2 linked regions of the Diceros bicornis minor genome follow. The protein of the gene in region 2 interacts with the protein of the main gene of each other region in a biochemical or structural test. Links are inferred from orthologs where the notes say so. Each region holds a gene or a part of one and is shown on either strand. Other genes may lie near its edges.

Region 1 (7,960 bases), on a different chromosome or scaffold from region 2:
AATGCACACACAACTATGCTTCTGCAAGTCCTGTGCAGACCCACAGTTTCGGACACACATGAGCTCACATGTGGACTCAGACACTCACCCTCATGCAGACCCAGAAAACACAATGCCCAGAGTCCCACGGAGCTCTGCTCTGACACCCTGACGTACCCTCAGGACACCCAGGCCCATCACCCTGTCTGTCCCTCCACAGTCACATGCACACATATGTGCACACAGACCATGCTGGCTGGCTCTGCACAATGGCTATGCTCACACACCCTGGAAATGGCTCTGGGCCCTGGCATTTACCAGTGTTTGGAATGTCTCTGAACCTTGGTTTCCCCATCTACAAGCCTTTGTAAGGGGCGATGTCTCTGGCTTTGGGGAGCCAGAGTCATAAGGGCATGGGCACCAGTGAGTGGGGCGTGCTGAGGCCCACGGAGGAAAGGAGAGCCTCAGATCAGGGGATTCTTAGGCAAAAGTTTCTTTCTTGCTGTCTTTTTAGATAGGGAAACTGAGGTGTGAGGAAGGACAGCCCAAGGTTATGCAGGCATCAGACAGAGATGGAGGAATCAGGAATCGGAGGAATCGCAGAGCTCCTGCCTTCCCACCTGGGGCTCTGCCTGGGTAGGGAGCTTACAGGAGGAGGAAGCTGCCTGCCCATCTCTCTCTAGAGAAGGCAGATGCCGTTACCTGGGAGGTGGCGGGGAAAGCAGCAGGGGCCCTCAAGTCAGACACACAGGCACACAGCCTCCTCAGCAATGGGCTGGTCCCCTGGGACTGGGCTGCTGTGGGATCTGACTGACTGACTCCCCAGGAAATGGCCCCCAGACCCTGGCCCAAGATGAGGAGGCTGCTGCCCCTCTGTGTCTCCAGTTCTTGCGCTCTCCCAGTCACTCCATATTTTTCTTTGCTCTTCTTGGTCTATCTACGCCTGCCGCTCTGACGAACTCCCATCTCTACTTCTCTTTGTCTCTGTCTCTCTCTTCCCTCTGTCTAGCGTCATCTCCCATTCTGTCTCTTCTCTCTTTGGTTCCCTCTTGGCCTCTGCTCTCATGAGGGTACAGATGGGAGTCCTCCTGTCTTGCTAGGGGTCCCCTCACTCACCCAGTCCCCCTCCAGTGTGTTTCTCCTGTAGGAGTGTTTTGTGAAGTTAAACCTCCATTCCTGCTCCATGCCACACCACACCCGCCTCCCTGGGCAAACAGCTTCCACTCTGGGTAAAGCTCGGTATGAGTGCATGCATGTGTGCACGCATGTGATCTTGAGAGCTGGAGGGGGTCCCTAAATCCTACCCCCTGCCTGGGTGATTCAGACCTCCGACTCACAACCCTGCCTTCCAGACTGCAAACAAAACTTGCAGAAAACAGAGACCCCCACAGCAAAGTCTGTGGGACCCTACATGAAGGCCAAAGCCCAGTCTTCTGCTAGTTCGTCTTCCCGGGAGACTAAACCAGAGCAGTGGTGCTCACAGAAGCAGAAGCTAGGGGAACCCCAACCACAGATTTCCAGACCTGAGACCCCAAACCCAGGCTTCGGAAATAGGGAGACCTTAGGTATCTGGAACACAGAATCCAGACACCCCAGAGACAGCAGGCATCGAGGATCCTGGGTCAGAGGGGACCCCCCACCCCAAGTTCAAATTACTTGAGGAACCCAAGACTCTGCGCCCTGGACCCACCTCAGGGACCCCAGAGCAAGCCTGCAGCCTGTCCTGGAGTGCGGGCGGGGGACTTACCAGCGCGTATGCGGAGCTGAGCACCGGGCAGCAGAGCAGGAGCGCCAGGCCGGGTGCGATCCGGGCGGCCCCCATCGCCACCGCCTAGGGCCCCGTCCCTCGGGGCAGCCGCCGCCGCCGGCCCTGGTGGTGGTGGTGGTGGGGTACAGAGCTGCGTCAGGCCCGGCTGCCCCGCCCACGCCCGGGCCTAGGGGACCCCGGCGGCCCGGCGGCCCGAGGCCCCGGGGCCCGGCGCGGGGCCCATGCGCCGAGAGCTTAGCGAGCGAGCGAGCGCAAAGGAGAGAGAGAGGGAGGGAGGAAGGGAGGCAGCCGGGGGCCGGGCGGGCGGCGGGCGGGCGCCGAGCGCTGCGGAGCTGCCCGTCTGCCTCGGAGCGGAGAAATCACATCCATATGGCCGGGCCCCCCGCCCCCGGCCCGCCCCCTGCCCCCCCCCCCCCGCCGCCTTTTCTTTCTTTTTTTTTTCTTTTGGGGAACTGGGAGCTGTGGCTTCGCCCCACGCCCAGTGGGGGAGGGGTCGGGGGAGGGGTTGGGGTCGCGGTCTGCGGGGGGCGAACGGGCTGTTATTTTTAGCTCCGCGGCTAACGCAAGTGGGGGGGGGGGCGGGGCGAGGCTAGGGGCACGTTTTGAGCCGCTCGGGGTGTGCAGCTTGGGGATGCGATCCCAACTTTGCAACGACACTGAGCCCTTCGGTGATCGGGCCGCCAGCTCTCTGCCCCTCGGCCCCCTCAGATCCCCATCCCCTCCGCGGCCGCCTCCGGCACCCCCTCCCCATCCTCGGCCGGAGCCCCGACTGCGCCCGCGCTGCTGGAGCGCGCCTGCGGCCGGGACGCTCTGTCTGTCTGCCTGTCTGTCAGTCCGTCTCTAGCTCCCCTGGCCTCGGCCTCCGTTCTTCCAGCAGCCCCGAGCTCCGTTTCGGTCACTCCCTCGCTCCCTCCCTCCCCTCCTCCTTCTCTCTCTACGAAAACATTTGCAAGTTTCCAAAAAAGCCACGGAGCCGAGCGGCGCGGGGCTGGCGGCTCCACCGGGCTCCGAGGAGGCGCCGCCGACTGACACCGAGACAGACCAGCCTGCCCGCCCGGGTCAGGCCTGGGGTCACCCCCACACACCTCCAGCCTCCTCCCCTCGGCGCCGGCCCCCAACCCTGACTTACTCTGAGCGCGCCGCCGCGGCCCCCGTCTAGCCATGGATGTCGGGGACCCCCCGACAGCCTCCCCAGGACAGCGCCCCGTCCGCGGCCCCGGGGGTACCTCATGGAGCTCCCGGGATCCCTCCCTGGCCGGCCTGGCCTCCAGCGCCCCCCGCCCGGCCGCCGCTCCGAGCCGCCGCCCGCCCAGCGCGTCCCTCGCCTCGGCGTCTGCGCTCCCCTCCCCCCGCGGCCGGGCGCCGCTTCCCTCCCCCGCGCCCTCTCTGGGCCTCTCCCGCCCCCGCCCCTCTCCGTCGCCTCCGACGCGATGTGTGGAGCGGCCGAGCGGACGGAGCCCGCTGCCCCCTGCCCCGGGACATTTCTCTAGAGGCCGCGGCCCGGGGCCGCACAGCGGCAGGATGTGAGTGTGGAGGGGACGGGGCCCGGGAAGCTCTGACATCGGGGCTCGGGAACGGGGCCCGGGACGCTGCCGCTGCTTCGTTCTCTCCTCCGGGAAGGCACAGACGTTATTTTTTCTGATCGTCCGGCCCAGGCTGGTGAATGGGGGCCTTCAGCCACGAAGCAGGCCCTCTTCACGGGAGGTATCCTGCGCGCCCCCGGCCGCGGCGCTGCTCGTTCGCCCGCGGGATTCCCGCTCGGGTTGGACCGGGATCCCGGGAGAGGCTGCTCGGCCGCCCGCCCGGAGCTTGGCTCCGCCGCCGCCGCCCCGCCCCGCCCCGCCCTCGCCTGGACCCCCAGCCTCGGGAACCTCCGGAGTGGGTCGCTCGGCTGAGCCGGAGACCCACCCCCGCCCTTGCCGGGGTCTCCCTCCTCACGTCCCTCTCTCTCCCTCCCCAGCCTCTCCCCGGGTCCGGGTCTCTCCGAGTCTCGACCCATCCAGACGCCGGCCTGGCCTTTCCAGCTCCACGCCTGACTCCATCTCGGGCCTCTCAAGGCCGCTAAGACCCGGAGCTCGGCCGAGACCCCCACCATCGGGCTCCGCCTCCCTCTCCCACCCCTTCACACCCCCAAACGCTCTTGGCGGGCTCTGGTCCACTGCGGACCGTCAATTCGGGGAGGGGCGGGAGGAGTCTTTGGGGGCAGGGGCTGGATGGGGGCGGGGCTTACATACTCCCGGGCCGCCGAGGGGACGTCGGAGCGCTAAGAGGAGTGGGCCTCGGACCTCAAGCCTACCACCTCTCAGTACCAGACGGGGAAGCTAAGGTGCACGATGGGCCTGGGGACGCCTGGAGCGGAGGTTTGAGGAGGAAGCTAATATAACTGTCGGGGCCCTGCGAAATATCATCTGGGCTAAGCAGCAGCCCCTGCTCACCCACTTACCAAGTGTGTATCCTGGGCACGACGACTCTCCCACTGTCTGGGCCTCAGTTTCCTCATCTGCAAGATGGGGAGTTGACCAGCTGATTCAGAGGACACAACTTCACTGTTTTAGTGCCTCTGAAGGTGGGTGTGCAGACCCATGGGCTCTGGGGGTTCCCCAGACTCAGCTTTTAGAAATTAAGCTCCTCAAAGCCCCCAAATCTGCCCCTCATCTCTGGTATGGCCCCTCCCCTCAACGTGAATGAGTCCCCAAGCCCAAGCCCCTAAGGCCACTGGAATCCAGCTGTAGCCAACCTTCCTGGCAAGCTCACCCCTCTCCAGGCTCAAACCACCCATCTCCTAGACTATACCCACAACTGTCCTCTCCATACATTTTTATGGCCCCGCCCTCCTCCGTGCCCCATTACCCTCAAGTTTCTTGTCCTGGCGTTTAAGGAGTGTGTCGTTTGAGGCAGTTTCCTCCAAAGATGACTGTCCCCAGCAGGTACTGTCCACAAGACTCTTGGCCTTCTCCCCATGTTCACTCCCCTGCCTGCCTTTGTAGTCTCCTCTGCCAGGATCGCGCTCCTCTGCCTGGTGTAAAGGCCATCCCTCCTTCCTTGTGTCCCCATCTCCTCCATTGCTGGGGCTGTGATTTGGGGGGTGCCCCCTATGGTGTGTGGGCTCCTTGGGAACAGGGACAGAGGCCCAGGTGCCCAGAGTGGGCACCTAGAGAACACTTGTGGTTCTTCAGTGTTATATTTTGATGGTCTCCACTTTATGTCTGTTTCTAATCGATTCTATTCTAAGTTTTATGGTTTGATGACTACTGACCACGCGCCCCTCTCCCCCCACTGCGGTGATAGGAAAAGACCATTCACGGAGGGATTGGCAGAACTGAGGGGCTCATGGAGGGAGTCCTTCTCAGATCTGACACCAGAAAGCTTGAGATTGGGAAGCAAACAATATTTGTACTTAGGAGGACCAGGGTGGGCTGTGGATAGGGCTGCAGAGAGGGGTCTGATGTGCTCTGGGCCCCTAAGGGTGTTCCCTAGCCATAACTCATGTGCCTCTCCCCAGAGTCCCCTGCTAGACATTCCACCACTGCAGGTGGGGCCCCTGATCCCCTAACTCGCCCCCAGGCCTCTGGTTAAAGTGCCACCATGGGGGTGGGGGTGTCACACATTAACTGGTAGCACCCCAGTGCCTGGCAAAGCCAGCCTGCCCTTTTTGACAGAGCCCCAGGGTCAGTTTCTGGTTAGTTTCAGGTCAGTTTCAATGGGGTTTGGAAAGGCCTGATTGGGGGTGGGGAGTGGGAGTGAGTCCCAGTGGGGATTCTGGTCTCTGATCCCCAGGCTGGGGCCTAGGAGGAGGAGCCAAGGTGGTCACTGGAGCTCAGAACTGGAGCAGGGGCTGGACTTTGGTGCAGCAGCCCTAGGCTGACAGGCCTCTGCTACCACCACTGCCACCGTGAGTAGGGCTCTGGCCAAGGTACACAGACCCTGGGGCCATGGTGGGCACCAGACTCTAATAGGAAAGACAGAGGCTCAGCCCTCTGAGCTGGGCAGCCTGGCCTCACTCCCTCAGAAAACCCCTTGCCACAGCCTGAGGGCTGTCTGGGAAAACTGGCCCACAGACCCCCGACACTTTGTCCCCCAACCCTAGTCCCAAAGTCAGCCTAAACCCCAATCTCAACCCCAATCCCAGACTGAGCTTTACCCTCAGGCTGAGTCCTTATCCCAGTCTGACCTCTAACCCCTGGCTGAACCCTGACCCTGGGCTGAGCCTCCACCAAGCCTCAATCCCAGACTTCTCTCCCGTTCCAGGCCCCTCTGGAAGCTTTTCAAGGCAAGGGGCTGGTAGGGGAGGGGATGGCCAGGCCGTAAGTGAACCGAGGTGCCACTTTTACAGCCATTTCGGCTGCTCATAAACACCCCCCACCCGGATGAGTCACTGGAGGCTCCCACAGCAGCTGGTTGGGCAGCCCCTTCCCCTTGCAGCAGGAAGCCTGGCTTTCTCACCTCTCAGGAAGACGAAGGGAGGGAAGCTGGGGGCACAGGGGGCCAGGAGGCTCTGTCCCAGGTGAGGAGCACTCTCAGGGCGGCTGGGGTTGTGGGCTTCCTGTCCCTTCAGATCACATGGTCATAGGCCCCCTGCTGCGGTAACACCAGGTCTACAGACATCTCCATGCAGACGTGCCTTGTCTGCCCCACGGCGCTGCACTGGTACACACACACTAACGCGGTGGGGTACCACACAGCCTTGCCCCTCCCAGCTGCGCTCAGGTCCCCTCTGGACCCCACTCACCTGGAGCCCACAAGGCCTTCCAAGTAGGGCCTGTAGCCGCAGAGCAGATTCAGGTTGGCCGTGGGGAGGCCATGGATAGTCCTGAGCAGCTTCTGTGGGTTCAGGCCTAAGCAAAGATGTTTCTGTTTGGGACAGGAAAAGGCCTGAGTCAGAGCTTTCACTTAAAAAGAAAAATTAATTATTTTTTACCAAGCCCTGCACCAGCCCAGGACTTTGTCCCAGCCCCCTGGTAAGGGAACAGAGGCAGGTCCAAGCACACCAGTGCTCAGGTGCCCTGGGCTGGGCCCTCCTCCCCCTCCACTGGTCTGCCTGCCAGGCACCCAGGCCAGCTTAGCTCCTCAGGTGTGTGTGTGCTTCAGTGGTCCTCTCCTCGCCCTGCCAAGCCTCTCTCTGACTAACTCTCCTTCTGTCTGTTCCTGTGTCCCTGTCTGCCCATTCTGGCCTTTTCCACATCTCAGAAATTTCAGGCCACCACAAGGTATGAGCACAGCCCCTATGAGTGACTTCATTCAAGTTTTGGGCACCTGGAGAAATCAGATAGAGGCTGACGATAGTTCATACCTAGGTCACAGACTGGAAAACTGAGACCTGAGAAGGCCTGACCTCCCAGCAGTAGGTATCCAATGTCCCTCAGCCAGGAGAGATGTGGGAATCCTCATTCCACCCAGCCCTCATCTTGACCCCTGCAGCCCCACAGCCACACCATATCTGACTCCTTGTCCACTGGAACGTGGGCTCTTGGTGGGAAACCAGCCAGGAAGCCCTTTTGTGGCTGGCCCCCTAGTGCCACCCAGGCTCAGGACCTGCTTATGCAGTTACAGGTCACAGAGACGGGGGTGGTGGACAGGATGACCTCCCTCTGTGTTTCTGTGGAATGAGCTGTGGCAGAACCAGGGCTGCCCCTGGACACTGAGGGTGAAGATGTGGACAGACGGGGAGGAAGAGACCATGCAAGATCCTGGTACCTCACCCAGGGCCCCGAGACCATGGTTGGAGGCCACCCTTCCGCCTGAGCCCAGCCCGAGCTGGTTTGTGTCTGGAAGTCCCAGGCTCAGCCTGACGAGGTGTAATGATTGACGTGGCAGCTGCCGCTCAGCACATTCCAGCCGTAGCCCCCAGTGCCCAGCACGTGAGACGGCTGACCCCAAACCACCCCCAACTGCTGGGGCATGTTTCTAGGGCCCGCATCCCCAGAGGAACCTCTCCCCAGGTCTTACACACTTTACTACTACTTTCTTTTTTTGTTTTTTAAAAATTCTTATTTATTTATTTATTGAGAAAGATCAGCCCTGAGCTAACTTCTATTGCCAATCCTCCTCCTTTTTTTCCCCAAAGCCCCAGTAGCTAGTTGTATGTCATAGTTGCACATCTTTCTAGTTGCTGTATGTGGGACGCGGCCTCAGCATGGCCAGACAAGTGGTGGGTCGGTGCGTCGGGATCTGAACCCAGGCCGCCAGCAGCGGAGCGCGCACACTTAACCGCTA
Region 2 (7,130 bases):
AGCCGAGGCTGCCTGCACGTGCCCAGTCTGGCTTTGGTTCCCAGGGATCGTGGGCAGGCGGAAGCCCTCGGTGGGCCATCTCCTCGGTGCAGGTCAGCTGTCGCCGGCGGAGCTCCTCGTCCGTCTCCTTGTCTACCACCAGCAGCCGAGTCTGCCCCTCCACAGCCTTGATCCTCTGTACCACCTGGGACAGGCAGGTGGCAGGAGCAGGTCAGCGGCCAACACTCCAGACAGCACATGGACAGTGGCACCACCCAGGGCTCGCCTGGGCTTGCAGGCAGGCGGCTGGCCTACCAGGGGTGGGCGGCTGGACCGAGAGGCCCGCCGGCTCCACCCCCCACCCCCGGGCTCCAGCCGCTCCCTCCCTCCTCTCCCAGAGCTCCTGACACTGGGGCCCAGGATGCCAGGGCTGCAGGGTCGTCGCCTCAGCCCAGGGTCTTCTCCAGGAGAGACCAGGAAGCTGGGGGAGGCAGTGGTCTGGAAGTGACAAAGATGGTGCACGGCCAAGCTTCAGGTTTTCAGTGTGCGTGTGTGGGTGTGTGCGCGCGCGTCTGTGTGCAGGCGTACATCCATCTGTTTCAGGGTCTCTCTTGGTCTGGGTTGGAGGGAGAGAACTCTCTCCCTGGGTCCCAGTCTGAGTGTCTGTGCCCAATTCTGTCCTTCTCAGTGGTGGAGCAAGGAAGTCTAAACCCCTGCCTCTAGGCCTTCCACAAGGCACCTCCGTGGGCACCGACACACAACTCAGTAAGCAGGATTCAGACCCAGCAGGTGAGGCAGGGAGGGGCAGGTCCACCTGTAGGACGAGTGTGGCATTATGGACATCTGTGTGTCTCTGCAGGTGCATGTGGGTGCCATGGAGCATGCATGCCAGTGCGTGCCCTGCAGGAGAAGGGGCAGTGCCCACTGGGCTTTGGGGTAGGAAGGGCAACACCCCCACCCCAAGGCCTGGAGGACGGCAGACGGGACCCCCATCAGCTACTTGGCAGAAGTTGTCAACAGATAGGAGGGTCTAGACCAGGCCCACCTTCCCCCCACCCCCTGCCCCTCCTGTCCTTCCTCTCTCCCTGTGACCCACAGAGCCACAGGAGGACCCCAGCACCCTGCTGCATCCTGACTGTGGGACCCAGACAAGTCACCCACTATCTCCAAGCATCAGTTTCCTCATCTGCAAAATGGGAGCCGTAACTGCATCTCCTCCTTCCTGGGGCAGTGAGAGCGACCCACGTGGTCCTGTGTGTGAAGTTCCTGGAGACCAGCACCCAGAAGCCTGGGATAAGCAGGCGCTCTTGGGGCAAGGGTGACAGTGACTGCTACGCAGAGGCCAGGCACCAGCTCTGCCAGCCCCTCCCCGCGGCCTGTCAGGCCAAATCCTCTGGCCCTGACCCCTATCCTCCTTCAGCAAACAGCTTCATCCAGTTGACACTCTGGCTGGAAGACAGAAGGACCGCAAAAACAAATGGATAGACAAGGGCCCCAAGGGTAGAGTGGGAGCTCAGCTCCAGGCCCAGTGAAGAACCAGAGAAGAACTCATCTCTAGGCCCCAGGGCTGGCCACACAGGCGGGTCAGAAACTCATAGTGCTGGGGGGACACAGAGGACCCTGGAGCAGAAGGGGGGAGGGAGGCTGGACCCAAGCCAGGTGAGCCCCTGGCCAGTGGAGATGGACCCCCCTCCAGGGGTCAGAACCTGCAGAGAGGAGACCCTGCCCTCCCTCTGGCCTTCATCTCCAGCTGCAGGGGGCAGGGTCTGTGGCCAGTGACCCCTGCAGGGCCAGCAGCCTCCACAGAGAGGAATGTGCTGCCAGCAGTAGCGACTCCTACTGGGACCCAGACACCATCAGCCAGGACACACACTAGGGCACTGGCCTGCCAACATACACTGATGACTACACACAGCCGGGCCGGCAGACACACACACACACAGCCCAGCTCACACACACATCCAGGCATGCAGCTCTATCCACACTCACACATCCAGGCATGCAGACCTGTATATTGATACATACAGTCCAACACATACACAGAGCCCAGCTCTCACACACGTCCAGGCATGCAGATCTATCCACACACATCTAGGGGTGAAGACCTGTCTATTCACCCACACAGTCCAGCACACACATACACATACACACTCACTGATACACGCACACACAGGTGTGCCCTTACTGTGACACCTCCCAGGTACACACAGATAAATGTATGCACATCTGGGTGATCCCCAGAGGGACCTGCACACTCACACACATTGTCTGTGTACACACGCGCATGTCTACACACTCAAAGAAAAGCACCCAGGGTACCCACTTGCATGGAAACCCCCCTAAGGTAACCGACACCTCCACACATGGCACAGGGAGTCCAAAACAAGACTAAACTAGGGCCAAGGACCCAAGAGCCGCAGTGCGGGCCCCTCCCTGCCAGGATCTCCCCCCGCTCTCCGCGGTGCAGGGCTGAGCTTCCTGGGGGGGGAGGCTAGGAAGGAGGCCGGCGGCCGCTGCCTCCGTGGCCACGTCCCCCACCTCCCCGGGGGAGCTCACGCAGGCCCTTGTGCAACCCCCTCCCGGCCCCGGGCAGGGAGCCGAGGCCTGGAAGCAGGCGGCGCCGAGCCCGGTGGTCCTCAGCGCCCCCTGCGCGCGCGGGGCAGGGACGCGCTCCCCGGGGAGGGCCCGGCGGGCGGGGCGCGGGCACCCACCTGGTGGTGCGTCTCGCCCTCCACGTTGACGCCGTTGACCTCAACCAGGCGGTCTCCGGCGCGCAGCGCGGCCGCCTCGGCCGGGGAGCCGGGCTCCACGCGCCGGATGAACTGCCCGCGGCGGCCCTTCTCGCCGTGCAGGTGGAAGCCGTAGCCGTGCTCGCCGCGCACCAGGCAGCACAGGCGCGGCCGCAGCGGCTCCGGCGCGGCCATGGCGCCGGCTGCCCACCCGCCGGCCCCGAGCTGGCCACGGCGCTCACGCCCGCCGCCGGCAGGCAGGGGCGCGGGGACGGCGCGGAGGCGGCAGCGGCGGCGGCGCTGGAAACCCGGCGGCGGCCTCGGCGGCTCCCGCTCGGCTCCCGACGCCTCGGGCTCCGGCTCGGGCTCAGGCTGCGGCACCGCCCCCGCGCCCGCCCCTTCCCCGCCCCCTCCGCCCGGCCGCCCCCTCTGCCCCGGGCCCAAGCAGTCGTGGCCTTGCCCCTGCCTTGGCGTCCCGCTAGCCCGGGGGAGCCCGCAGGAAGTAGGGGACTGCAGGGCCAGGGGACCCCGAATCACCGGGACCCGCTGGTCTCGCCCCCACTCTGGGCAGCCTCCTTGGCGCCAGCGCCTTTGCCTCCTATTCCAGGAACTTTTATTGAGCACCTACGGTATGCGTGGCACCAGCACGGAGGCGGGCTCTTGAGGTGGGGGAGGGGGTGGAGAAAGTGTCCTCAGGCCGAGGGACCCTACACAGTGGCCAGAGGGTAAGAACAAAGGCAACAGCTCTGCTCACCTTCCTGGGAAGCCCCCTCACCACCACCACCCCCACCCCAGCTGTCTGTGTATCTGGATCCTTCCTGCGCCCGGAGCTGCCCTGGCCGGGACCAGAGTCCAGGACACTCCAGGAGGCAAAAGAGGGATTTGAAAGTGATATGGCAGCAGCCCTCCCCTATAACCTGGAGGCCAGTGACTGGGTGACTCCCCTACCCCCTTCAGGAGTGTTTGTGCCTATCTGTGCTGCATACATCCATTAAACATTCCCCCTACCATCCCCTCACTTTGCCAGGGCCCCTCGCTCGTGCCCCTGCCCATCCCAGGCCTGGTCTGTGACTACAAGGAGTGCAGGGAGGAAATGCAGTTGTCTGGCTGGGATGAGAGAGTCTTTGCTACCCTCCTCCTGACCTGGGATGAAATGTGCTGAGGAGTTCGGTGTCTGAGCTCTCAGACCCCTTCAGATCTCCCTTCCTCCACCCCAGCCCTCCCCTCCCTCTCTCCTCCCCTTCCCCTACAGCAGCCCCCACTCCCACCCCACAGCATGAGTGCCCTCTTCCCCCAATTGGACAATAATAATCACAATGCAGAATCACTTATGCTTCCTTGCGCCTGAGTGCATTTTACCTGGAACAACCATACGGGACTCAGGCCATTTTACAGATCAGGAGACTGAGATCTGGAAAGGGAAGAGACCCAGGCAAAGTTCCCCAGCTTCTCCTGGGCCCAGGGCTGTAAGATTCCAAATCCACACTCTTCACCATGGAGTTCATTCTCAGCCTCAGATACAGGAAGACAGCTGAGCTGCATGCTCACCCTCAGCCTGCCCCTCCCCAGCCCTGCCCTGCCCTACCCTGTACATACCTGGTCACCCTCACCCTGCCCCTCCCCAGCCCTGGCCCCCCACCCCCTGCACATACCTGGTCCCCGGGGGGGCAGGCACAGCCAGCCCAGACAGCTCCCCATGAGGGCAGAAGCAAGAGTCGGCTCAGGCCCCGTCCTTGCATCTCCTTCTCCCCTCTCCATGCCCTCAGCCTGGGCTCCCAGCCCCCGCCAAGCACAGGGCCCGCCTCTGGGCAGCTTCCTGGGCCACAGCCCCTTGGGTGTCCACACCCCAGCTGCTGCCCCTAAAAGCCACTTAGGCCGAAGCTGCACGGCTGCTCCCCCACCCCCAACTCCGAGTTCCTGGCTGATGCTGCCATAGGCCCCCACCTGGCTGGCCACCTCCATCTGTCTGTTTGCCTGTCCAGAGGCTGCCTGTCTGGCCTGTGGCTGGCCTCCCTGGACCCAACTTGGTGCTGCTGCCCCTGGAGACTGTGAGGATGGGTGCGGGCAGTGCGGTCCCAGCATATACCACAGCAGGTGGGGCTTAGGGGTCACCCCATAGCAACCAGGACCACCCAGAATGTGCCATGCTGTAGCTTCAGGGCCACACTGGAGTTGAGGGATGGGAGACCCCCAGGCTGGGGGGTCGAGAAGGTAGGGGCCCCTGGTCCCCTGGTCCCCTGGGTCAGAAGGCTTGGAGACCTCCTCCCCGCTCCGTAGGACAGATGCTCCTCATCAGCCTTGGGCCCTCACCACCTTCTGCAGCCCGGGACTCAGCCTGTGGGTGAAGATGGATGGGAACAGAACACCACTGGAGGGAGGGATAGCCAGGGGCATGTGGTCACAGGGGCCAGGAACACTGCATCCCAGAATAACAAAGGAGGCCCTAAAGCAGAAAAGGAGCTGAGGAAGTAGCAGGGAAGGTAACAGAGTAACAAAGGCAACATTAGAGTGACAAGGGGGCGTAACAAAGGAAGTGGATGACAGCAACAGAGTAAATAAGGGCAGCCAGGGAAGAGCTGCAGGTCACAGTTCCCAAGGGCGGACAGGAATGAGAGGGAGGGAATGGGGTCAGTATGGAGGGCCTGGGATAACAGAGGTGAAGAAAGGGGGCCCAGTAGCTCTCCTGGGCACACTCCCCCAGGCCTCTTCCTCTGGCCTTGGCCTCGGGCGTGGGGCGCTGTGATGGAGGCGAGAGGCACAGAGAAAGGGGCAAAGGCAGCAAAGCAGAGGGACAGAGGGCAAAGGCCCAGAGTGTGGGCTGAAAGGTGTTGGGGGCTGTAAGTTGCTCAGGGTCGCTGGGGAATGTGCTAGGGAGCTAGCTGATCAGTGAGGCCAGCAGCGGGCAGGAGGAGGTCGGGTCGGAAGTGGTCAGAGGTCTGGGGGATCCCCACCCTTGGCGCCCTCATCCCTGTCCTGCCACCTTGCTGCGCAAGCCTTGGGACAGAGGGATAGTGGATCTTTCGTTGCTTCCCTCCCCGGGGTTGTCGGACGGCTCACCCCGGGAGGGCTCACCCCAGGGAGGGCTTGCCCCCGTGATCCTGTTGCGGGGAGGGGGAGTTTCCTCTGACCTTTGAACCTACCTCCCTGCTGCGACGCCCCCAGGGGTGGGGCGGAGCCTGCGCCTAGGCGGGGACTCTGGGATGTGGCGGTGGGCAGAAGCCTGGTCACAGCCAGAGGAAGGACTGGGGGCCGTCTCGGGGATGGAGCCATTAGCCTGACGCCCGGGTAATGGCCCAGAGCTTCCCAGGCCGGCACCTCCTCCCTAATGGGCATTAATGGCTCCACGGGATGACCAGTCCTCACTTATGGCCTCCTCCCTCAGACTACACCAGGCCTCTCTTCAGAGCCCGAAATCGGAGCAGGCGGGACCACAGCGACGGGAAGAGATAACAAGATACCTAGAGACGAGGTGGGGAGGGGAGGGGAGGGGACGGAGGAGGGGGAGAGAGAGAGAATGCAAAGACCAGAGTGGCCCCGCCCTTGACCCGCCCCTAGCCCGCCCATCGCCGGAGGCGCGGAGCGGTGACTGTAGCCCGAAAGAGCAGCTGCGCAGCGCCACCTCCCGGCTCTGGGTGGGATGGCATCGTCCGAGGGGCTGCCCTAGGCCCCGCCCCTATGGCTCCGACTCGGTCCAGCCCTGCCTCGCCGGGTGGCGATTGCGGCGAGGCTGACGCCCTAGAGCTGCTTGCACTGCAGGGGCGTAGGGGTGCCGCGGAGGCGTAGGCAGAGAAGCCGGGCCTCTGCCGAGCCCCTAATTGGCTCTGCTCCTTCACCTTGGACCTGGCACTAACCTATCTGGACCAGGGTTCCTCCAGGCAACATGAAACCTAGCCCCTCACCAAGTGTCCCGGCACTTGTGACCAAACATTTGAGGACCACTTCGTGCCAAGCGCTGGAGAGCACCGGGGAAACATCGCTGAGACCCCTGGAAACAGGGATCTGTGTACCTTGGCCAGGGGAGGCCCAGGGCTGGGGCAGCCCAAGGAGAGGCATTGAAACTGGCCTGGGGCCCTGGAGTCCTCCTTCAGGGTGGACCAGGGAGCTGTTCTGGAATCTGCCCAGAGTTTCCTGCAGGCTGTGTGGGGAAAGGGAGGGAGCAATGAGACTGGGGGACAGGGCCCCCTGTCCCTGTGGCCTTGCCCCAGAGCATAGATTTCATCCCATCAGTGGTGGGAAGCCCTTGAGGTGCATTGGGAGTAACAAGCTCAGGACACCCATGTTTTGAAAGACTGAGTTTGGCAAGGAGCAGGGGTGGGAGTGGGCTCGGGGAGAGGAGAATGAGGGGTTTGTGACCACCTGTTCCCCCAGTGCAGATCCTGGGGGCAAAAAACTGAGTGGGATCAGGGTAAATAAATTCAGGGG

What was found.
Region 1: the proteins of NHERF2 (region 2) and PTH1R interact in a test that uses a peptide from one of them, tested with the Homo sapiens proteins (2 studies listed by BioGRID and IntAct, with this or other methods). The link is inferred for Diceros bicornis minor from reciprocal best matches to the Homo sapiens genes NHERF2 and PTH1R.

What each region holds. Positions count from the first base shown.
Region 1 is NC_080741.1:48,268,808-48,276,767, reverse strand, and holds the start of PTH1R (parathyroid hormone/parathyroid hormone-related peptide receptor), read right to left. Parts: upstream 3,019-7,960; 5' UTR 2,911-3,018; coding exon of another isoform or gene 2,877-2,910; intron 2,116-2,876; exon of another isoform or gene 1,850-2,115; coding exon of another isoform or gene 1,802-1,849; coding exon 1,727-1,801; intron 1-1,726.
Region 2 is NC_080765.1:46,385,776-46,392,905, forward strand, and holds the start of NHERF2 (Na(+)/H(+) exchange regulatory cofactor NHE-RF2), read right to left. Parts: upstream 3,013-7,130; 5' UTR 2,904-3,012; coding exon 2,691-2,903; intron 185-2,690; coding exon 1-184.